2 linked regions of the Canis lupus familiaris genome follow. The protein of the gene in region 1 purifies or fractionates together with the protein of each later gene. This does not show direct contact. Links are inferred from orthologs where the notes say so. Each region holds a gene or a part of one and is shown in the gene's direction. Other genes may lie near its edges.

The links.
Region 2: the proteins of APOB (region 1) and VCP purify together in Homo sapiens (affinity purification with western blotting, with the first as the bait; 3 studies listed by BioGRID). This does not show direct contact. The link is inferred for Canis lupus familiaris from reciprocal best matches to the Homo sapiens genes APOB and VCP.

Annotation. Positions count from the first base shown.
Region 1 is NC_049238.1:15,957,722-15,961,970, reverse strand, and holds the start of APOB (apolipoprotein B-100), read left to right. Parts: upstream 1-1,357; 5' UTR 1,358-1,368; coding exon 1,369-1,435; intron 1,436-1,672; coding exon 1,673-1,711; intron 1,712-3,000; coding exon 3,001-3,116; intron 3,117-4,124; coding exon 4,125-4,249. UniProt on the Homo sapiens protein: Apolipoprotein B is a major protein constituent of chylomicrons (apo B-48), LDL (apo B-100) and VLDL (apo B-100). Apo B-100 functions as a recognition signal for the cellular binding and internalization of LDL particles by the apoB/E receptor.
Region 2 is NC_049232.1:51,941,494-51,945,301, reverse strand, and holds part of VCP (transitional endoplasmic reticulum ATPase), read left to right. Parts: intron 1-990; coding exon 991-1,102; intron 1,103-1,291; coding exon 1,292-1,464; intron 1,465-2,833; coding exon 2,834-2,976; intron 2,977-3,522; coding exon 3,523-3,653; intron 3,654-3,808. UniProt on the Homo sapiens protein: Necessary for the fragmentation of Golgi stacks during mitosis and for their reassembly after mitosis. Involved in the formation of the transitional endoplasmic reticulum (tER).

The DNA of each region.
Region 1 (4,249 bases):
ATGTAGAAGGTGTCCCCGTTGAGAGACCGGGAAGGAACCCTTCTGGAACCTTCCTCCTCACCCCCAGAAGACCCGAACACAGGAACTTTATTCCACCCGGATACAGAAGCACCAGCCTGTGACAAATAAGCACTGGCCTGTGCAATAGGCGTTTTTGTACATCGGGTAGTCGCCGTCCCCTCTTCATCACTGGGGGCTCCTCGCCCCTGCCCTGCACCCCTGCTCGGGGCTCCGCACCCCACCCCTGCCCTGGACCTCTCCAGCAGTTGCTGTAACACCTCACCCCGTTAGCACTCCCGAGGCCTACCTTCGATGCCTGCCTGCAGCTTCCTGTCTATGGCATCTGTCACCAGGCAGACTGGAGGTGCCTGGCGACAGGCCAGTGCCGGATGTGGCTCCGTCCCATCTCTCACACTCTGGACGGCCACTGGGTCAGTAAAGTCAATGAAGCTGCAATGTCTGCGCTGTGCGGGATTCCCCACAGCTGGGGGGGGGAGGGGTGCTTGGCAAATGTCCCCCGTAGAGGAAGGGGGGGTCTGTGGAGTGTGGAGGAGGCCCTGGCTGTTGCGGAGGAGCATGCGGTGTCCAGGTGTCCATGCACCACGCGGCGGCCCCCACCGTCCTCCCGTTCCTGGACGCAACCCAGGAGCTGGGGCAGGCAGAGAAAGGCCTCCTCTCCCCAGTTTCCCACGATGACGGGGGAGGGGCACCTCGCTGGGGTTTCCTGACCATGTGGACCATGTGGACCATGTGGACCATGTGGGCGCTCGGCTCGGCCGGGCCTGGGACTGGTCCAGGACCCCCAGCCAGTGCCCCTCTGCTCCCTCCGGGCGGGCGGGCGTGCAGGCCGCGACCCCAGGCCAGGGGCGCCATCCCGGCGAGGGGTGAGGGGTGAGGGGTGGGGGCCCCTCCCACCCCACAGTCCCCCAGACCCGAACAGAACGGAAAAGGTCTCAACCGAGCGGCTGTTAAGGGCCGGTTCTGGAAACGGCTACAAAGGCGGAGGGGAGCGGCGGTGCGGGTGCCGTGGGGTGCGCGGGCACCTCGGGGGGCCCCCCGGCCCCAGCCTCCGCGGGCGGGGCTCCGGGCGCCCCCACGGCCTGGCGGCCCGCGCTCGCCCCCTCGCCGGCCCCTCCTCGAGCTGCAAAAGCAAACAGCCGGCTGCCCTTTGGACCTTTTGCAACTGGCCTGCGCGCCCCGAGCCGGGCGCTGCGCCCCGGGCGGCCTGGTATAAAGCGGGCGCGGGCGCGGGCGGCGCATTCCCTCCTCGTGCGGGGCGGCCGCCTGCGGGTGCGGCCCCTGAGCCTCCCGCGAGCCGTCCGGCCAGCCGCCCCCGCGCCCCCGGCGCCCCCCGAGCCCCCCGTCGGCATGGGCCGGCCCGGGCCCGCGCTGCTGCTGCTGCCTCTGCTGCTGGCCGCCCCCCGCGCCTGGGCTCGTGAGTGCGGGGCGCTGAGCCCGGGGGGCGGGGGGCTGAGCCTGGGGGGCGCTGAGCCTGGGGGGGGCGCTGAGCCCCGGGGGGTGGGGGTGGACGCCCCGCGGCCCGGCCCCCCGGAACCGCCTTCCCTGCAGAGCGCCAGGTGCCCGCCCTCCGCGGCGCCCTCCCCGCCCCGGGAGACCCTGGGCCCGCGGGGAGACGCGGGAAGCCCACGCGCCCTTTCCCCTTTTCTTGCAGAAGACGAGGTGCCGGAGAGTGCGAGCCCCGGCTGCGCAAGTAAGGCCCTTCCCGCCGCGCTGGGAGGGCGCCCCCGCCCCCGCCCCGGCCCGGCCCGGCCCGGCCCGGCCCGGCCCCGGCCCCCGCCCTCCTCCCGCCCGCGGGCGCCGCGATGGTCTGATGAGTGTGCACCCCTCTGAGCCCCAAGAGGCCAGTCCCCTGAGACTCTGCCCACCCCCCGGGGATCTCGACTCTCTTCTCCCTGCATTAATGTTCAGTCCCTAGAGCTTGGCCTGGGGGCAGGGTAGGGAAGGGACTGTCATCCAGTGGGCCCAGGGACACTTTAAAGAGACATCACGTTACCGTCTGTTTATCCGTGGCTAATCATTGATTCGAAGCACATGAGGGTGAGGAAATGCTGACTTTAACCTTTGCGCACAAATCCAGACCCCGCTCCTAAGTATTTACCTGACCTCCACGGGTCAAGGAGCCGGCCGTCTGGTGGTACCCAGTGTCCTGAGAGCGGGAGGCCGTGGCCTCTGGTGGGGCAGCACTGCCATCGCGTGGCCGTCTGGCGTCACTGCACCGGTGCTCGGGCCCCAAATGTTCTTTTTTTTTTTTTCTTTTTTTTCCTCAAACTGTTCGACAAATTCTCAAGCACGGTGAGAAACTCCGGAAATTCCTTCTCGGAATTTTTCTTAAGACAGTCAGCTACCCCGAAAACTTAATGAACCTCGCCTCAGGGATTTGGTAGAACCAAAAAAAAAAAAAAAAGGAGCCACAGAATCGTGGTATTTTCGAGCGGAACAGGTGTTAGAGGTATTTGCTTTACGAGGCCAACTGTTAATCCACCGTCTCTCCATAGACTTTCTGGGCTCCACTGTTTACCACTCCCCTCCTTGCACCCCATGATACATTCAAAAATTACTGGCAAATTTAAACATCCTCAACAAACCATAGCGGAGAAGTTAAATCTGTAAAGGGAAATTAAGGATAGTGCAAAGTCAATTAAAAATAATTGGGAAAAAATTTTTTTTAGAAATAATAATTGGAGTGACACCTGAGTGGCTCAGTAGTTAAGCATCTGCCTTCAGCTCAGGTCGTGATCCTGGGGTCCTGGGATCGAGTCCCACATCGGGGTCCCCGCAGGGAGCCTGCTTCTCCCTCTGCTTATGTCTCTGCCTCTCTGTCTCTCATGAATAAATAAAATCTTTTTAAAGTAATGACAATAACAATTGGAGTTTAGTTACCACTTTTTATGGTCTTTGTCACTACCCCTCGCTTCCTAGAATAGACTATCCTTGGGGGAGTTATCTGCTATGTAGCTGACTTATTTGTCCCCATTTTAGAAGGTGCAACTCGCTTCAAGCACCTCAGGAAGTATGTATACAACTATGAGGCTGAGAGTTCCAGCAGTATCCCTGGGACCACTGATTCAAGAAGTGCCACCAGGATCAACTGCAAGGTATGAGGGGAGAGGAAGAGCCACTAAAGGAAGCTGGGGCTTCTGGCCTTGCAAACCCAGGTCACAGCAGGACTGCTATAATCACAAAGCAAGGAACTGTCCCTACGTTTGAAAGTTAGCCACTCTGCTGAGTTTTCTGCTACAAAAAATTTTGCCAGCCAGATTTATTTTTCCATTAGCTTCCAAGATGTAACTGGAATACATGATCTAAAATATCAGCATTGTAGAACGGTAGATTTAACAAGATGAGAGAAACACAATGGGTGGTAAGCCAAGGGAGATGGGCATCTCAGGAAAGCATTCTGGGGTGCAGTGTTTATATTTGCAGCCAAACAGAAGAAAAAAAAAGAAAGAAAGAAAAATTTAAATATGTAGTTTGTTCTCAAATAAAACTTTATCTATTGCTGGAATGATTGTACTCACGTGCATGTTCATAAGGGATGGATCTAAGGGCCACTACTGGGGGTCATGTGGGAAAGAGAAGTCAAGCTGGGAAACTGACCTCTTCTTTCTAGGGCCCCATAGTCTATGTTAAATGAGGTAGCCATTGACCACATGTGGCTATTTCAATTGAGTAAAACTTAAAATTCAGCTTCTTGATCATACCAGCCACATTTCAAGTGCCCATGGCTAATGACTCTCATATCAGACAGGGCAAATGTAGAAGATTTCAGTTTTTGCAGAAAGTTCCTGAACAGTGTTAGATAACCACTAGGGATCTCCATAAGCTCCTGCAATACATGAAGCTCTGAATAGGCCCCAATAGTTACAGACAGTTGGATTGGTTGGGTTGTTTGGTGACATGAAGGAGACATTTGCTGTTGAAACCAATGATAGCCTTCTTCCTGCTTCCCGTTGTTCTTCCTCTAGCTCCTAGACTGCATTCCGTCTAACCAGTGGTCCCCAACTGTATTTCCTTTGGTGTCCTGATTAGGGAGTAAGCCTTGGGCTGTGAGGGGTCTCCTGTTCTTGAGGGACGGTCTTCATGTACTGCTACCCTCTTCCCAGGTTGAGCTGGAGGTCCCTCAGCTCTGCAACTTCATCGTCAGGACAAGCCAGTGTACCCTGAAGGAGGGGAATGGCTTCAACCCAAAGGGCAGGCCCTCCCTGCATAAGACCAAGAACTCTGAGGA
Region 2 (3,808 bases), on another chromosome or scaffold:
TAGTTTTCCCCAAATGTCATAGTCTTTGTGCTTGGCATTTCTGTGGTATATAGAATGCTCTGGAATTTAGCAGGTTTAGCCAGTAAGGATGGTAGTGCTAATGATTCTACTTCATTGTCCCCAGGCTTGGTGGGACTTGGGGCCTCCCTGAGTCCTACAGGAAGTTGTCTTGCTCACTTCATTCTCCAAGAAGGTTAGCAAAGAAGAGTTTATGCTTTCTTCTGCAGTGGTAATCATTGTGACCATTAATACCATGTGCCAGGCATTGTTGCATTCATTATCTCACTTAAGATAATTCTTTAAGATAGGTACTACTGTATTTGCTTCTTTTCAGATGAGGACATCATCATCCAGAGAAGTTAAGTAACTTGCTCAAGATGACAATTAAACAGTGGCAGGGTTGGGATTCAGACCCAGCAGGTCTGACTGCATAGCCCCTTCTCCTAATCACTGTTTCTTTCATACTAAGATTATTGTCATTTCTCTAATTGTTACTTAGCCTCTACTTTAAAAAAAAAAATTTATTCATGAGGGGCACAGAGAGAGGCAGAGACACAGGCAGAGGGAGAAGCAGGCTCCCTGTGGGGAGCCTGATGCAGGACTCGATCCCAGAACCCCGATCCCAGGACCCCAGGACCATGACTTGAGCTGAAGGCAGATGCTCAACCCCTGAGCCACCTGGGTGTCCTACTCAGCCTCTACCTCTATTTAGTCTTCTCAGGCCATAGTTTCCTGACTCTGGGGCAAGATCACTTGGGGCCTTAACAGCTAGGATACCAGTGCTCAGAATACTAAGAGATGCTGGAATGGGAATTGTATGTGCTAAATGTTACTCTTCGTGACCGTGGCTGAATATCCTTTATCTGACCTCTCTGGCATAGGGACAGCTTCATATATCCACTATTTCTTTCGTAAGTGTGAATTTTAAAGACTGGTGGGGTCCCTGGGACTGGAGTATGTATTGGGACTAAATTCATTTTCTCTTTTTAGTTCAAAAGGTGATGACTTATCAACAGCCATTCTTAAACAGAAGAATCGTCCCAATCGGTTAATTGTCGATGAAGCCATCAATGAGGACAACAGTGTGGTGTCCTTGTCCCAGGTAAGTTGGGTCAAAGGTTCAGTCTTTCCTTATTGCACTTAACCTGAGGACTTTTCCCAGGTTTCTTTCCTCATTTTTTTTTTTTGCAGTGACCACAGATAGAGTGGGGTTTACTGGGAATTCCAGCCTCCAGGGCTGCTGCCTACCCCTTGGCCCAGTGACCCAAAGGCCTTAACCTTCTTTTCTCAGCCCAAGATGGATGAACTGCAGTTGTTCCGAGGTGACACAGTATTGCTGAAAGGAAAGAAGAGGCGGGAAGCTGTGTGCATTGTGCTTTCTGATGACACATGTTCCGATGAGAAGATTCGAATGAATAGAGTTGTTCGGAATAACCTTCGCGTACATCTAGGGGATGTAATCAGGTGTGTGTGGGGTTCTTAGCCCCTCAGGGATGGGAGGCCAGAGACAGCCTGAATTATAGACAGGACTAATGAAGTTCTTGGCAGCTACCCATAGCAGAATCCTTCTAGCCATGGGAAGACTTAATATAGCAGGGCTATCTTTAGGTTTTGATTCTGCCTCCCTGAGACTTCAGAATTTACTTCTGCATGACCCTTGGGACAAGTTGCATTTCTGTGACTTCTGTGATACCTTTACTTATTTTTTTTGCCAGAGGTATGATTTATAACATGCTGAACGCTGGTTTAGGATACCATTTGAGAGTGTCTATGAAACAATCTCACTGTTATGTTGAAATAATGGCTTGTGTTGGGACCAGAATGAGGTAGGAGTGTGGGCATAGAAGGCGAATTTCCGATTAGGGTTTTTTTATGGATCAAAGTTAATATAGAATAGAAGCATAGTTTGAGTCAGACCCTGAATAGCTTCAGCTTCTATCTGAGTGATTTTTTTTTTTTTAAAGATTTTATTCATGAGAGAGAGAGAGAGGCACAGACACAGGCAAAGGGAGAAACATGCTCCATGCAGGGAGCTCGATGTGGGGCTCAATTCTGGGACTCTAGGATCCTGCCCCAGGCAGAAGGCAGGAGCTTAATCACTGGGACACCTAGGGATCCCCAATCTGAGAGATTTTAAACTTAACTTTAGGCAAGAAGCTTTCCCATCTTGGAGTCATCACTAGCCACAGCTATCCAACCCCCTGTCAGGAACATCTGAGACTGGCCAGGAACATCTCAGACTTCTGATTATTTTTAATGGATTCTAGATTTCATGTAGCCTTCTGGAGGTGCTTAATCACGTCAAGTTTCTCTGACCACCTGGCTGAGATGACTTTTTTTTTTTTTTTTTTTTTCAGTTTTATTTTTTTGATCCTGATACTTGTCCCACTACGGCCTCCGTAATTTTGGGTTACTAATATTAGCCAAATGGGTCATCTTTGGATATCTCTCACTGAAGATCCTTGCTCCTATTTCTTCATTTTGGGGGCTTTACATGTGTGGGTCTTCCTTTTGGCTCACTGATTGGGAGTGAGCAGCCCCATTTTAGTTCAACTTTAAATTTACCTAAAAAAAATAAAATTTTAATGTAAATTTGTAGCTTCTTCTAATGGCTCCTACTACTGCCCTTCCCCCAAGTATGACTTGGTCTTAGTTCTGTTTGGCTGCTCTTTTGTCCTCACTCTCACTCTGCCCTCCTTCCTCTCTTCACCTAAAGCCATCCCTACCTTTTTTCTTTTACTTGCCGTCAGCTCTCTGTGCCAGGCACTTTCAGACGCCCAGTGTTTGGGGCTACATTGTGGTTGGTAATGTGGAGTCTGCTTGTCATCCTCAGCATCCAGCCGTGTCCTGATGTGAAGTACGGCAAACGTATCCACGTGCTACCCATCGATGACACGGTGGAAGGCATCACTGGCAATCTCTTCGAGGTATACCTTAAGCCATACTTCCTGGAAGCTTATCGACCCATCCGGAAAGGTGAGAGATAATTCTAAAGACTGAGCTTAAGGATAGTTGTTTGTAGGGATACCTGGGAGTAAATCTTGGAATGTCTTTATCTCATTCTCATATGTGTGCTTACACACACATTCTGCATACACGCTCATGTGTACTCTCCTTCCTTCCTCCTCCTTCCCACTCCTCCATTTCCCTACTATCATTCCCTGCTTCAGTAGAGTAAGCTCTCTTCTCCTTTGTCCCAGAAGGAGGACTTGGGCACTTTTTGGCTGTGTCACAGTCCAAAGTGTATTTAATATTTAGCACAGTCTGATCATCTGTGGTTGTTGTGAAAGCTTGGTTACCTATAGCCCATAAGATTTTGTTCAGTGTCCTCTTGAATGGCAGAGGGACACTTCACAGTTTAGCTTTCTCCTCTTGCCTGATGCTTAATAAGGTAGAGGTGGGAAGGGGAAAGGGGCAGTATCTAGTGAACTTGGCATTTTAGACAACAGGTTCTGGTGAGGAACTCTCACTTGCTCTGGTATTTGACATCTCTGACTGCACTTGTGCTAATTACTCTCACAGGAGACATTTTCCTTGTCCGGGGTGGAATGCGTGCTGTAGAGTTCAAAGTAGTGGAGACAGATCCCAGTCCTTACTGCATTGTTGCCCCAGACACAGTGATCCACTGTGAAGGGGAGCCTATCAAACGAGAGGTGAGTTCTCTCCTTTATCCCAGTACCCAATTTCATGATTACAAAGTGGGGCGGTCATATGGTAACTACTAACTGTGAGTGCTCTTTGGGGGCACCTGGGTGGCTCAGTTGGTTAAGCATCTGACTCTTGATTTCAACTCCGGTCATAATCTCAG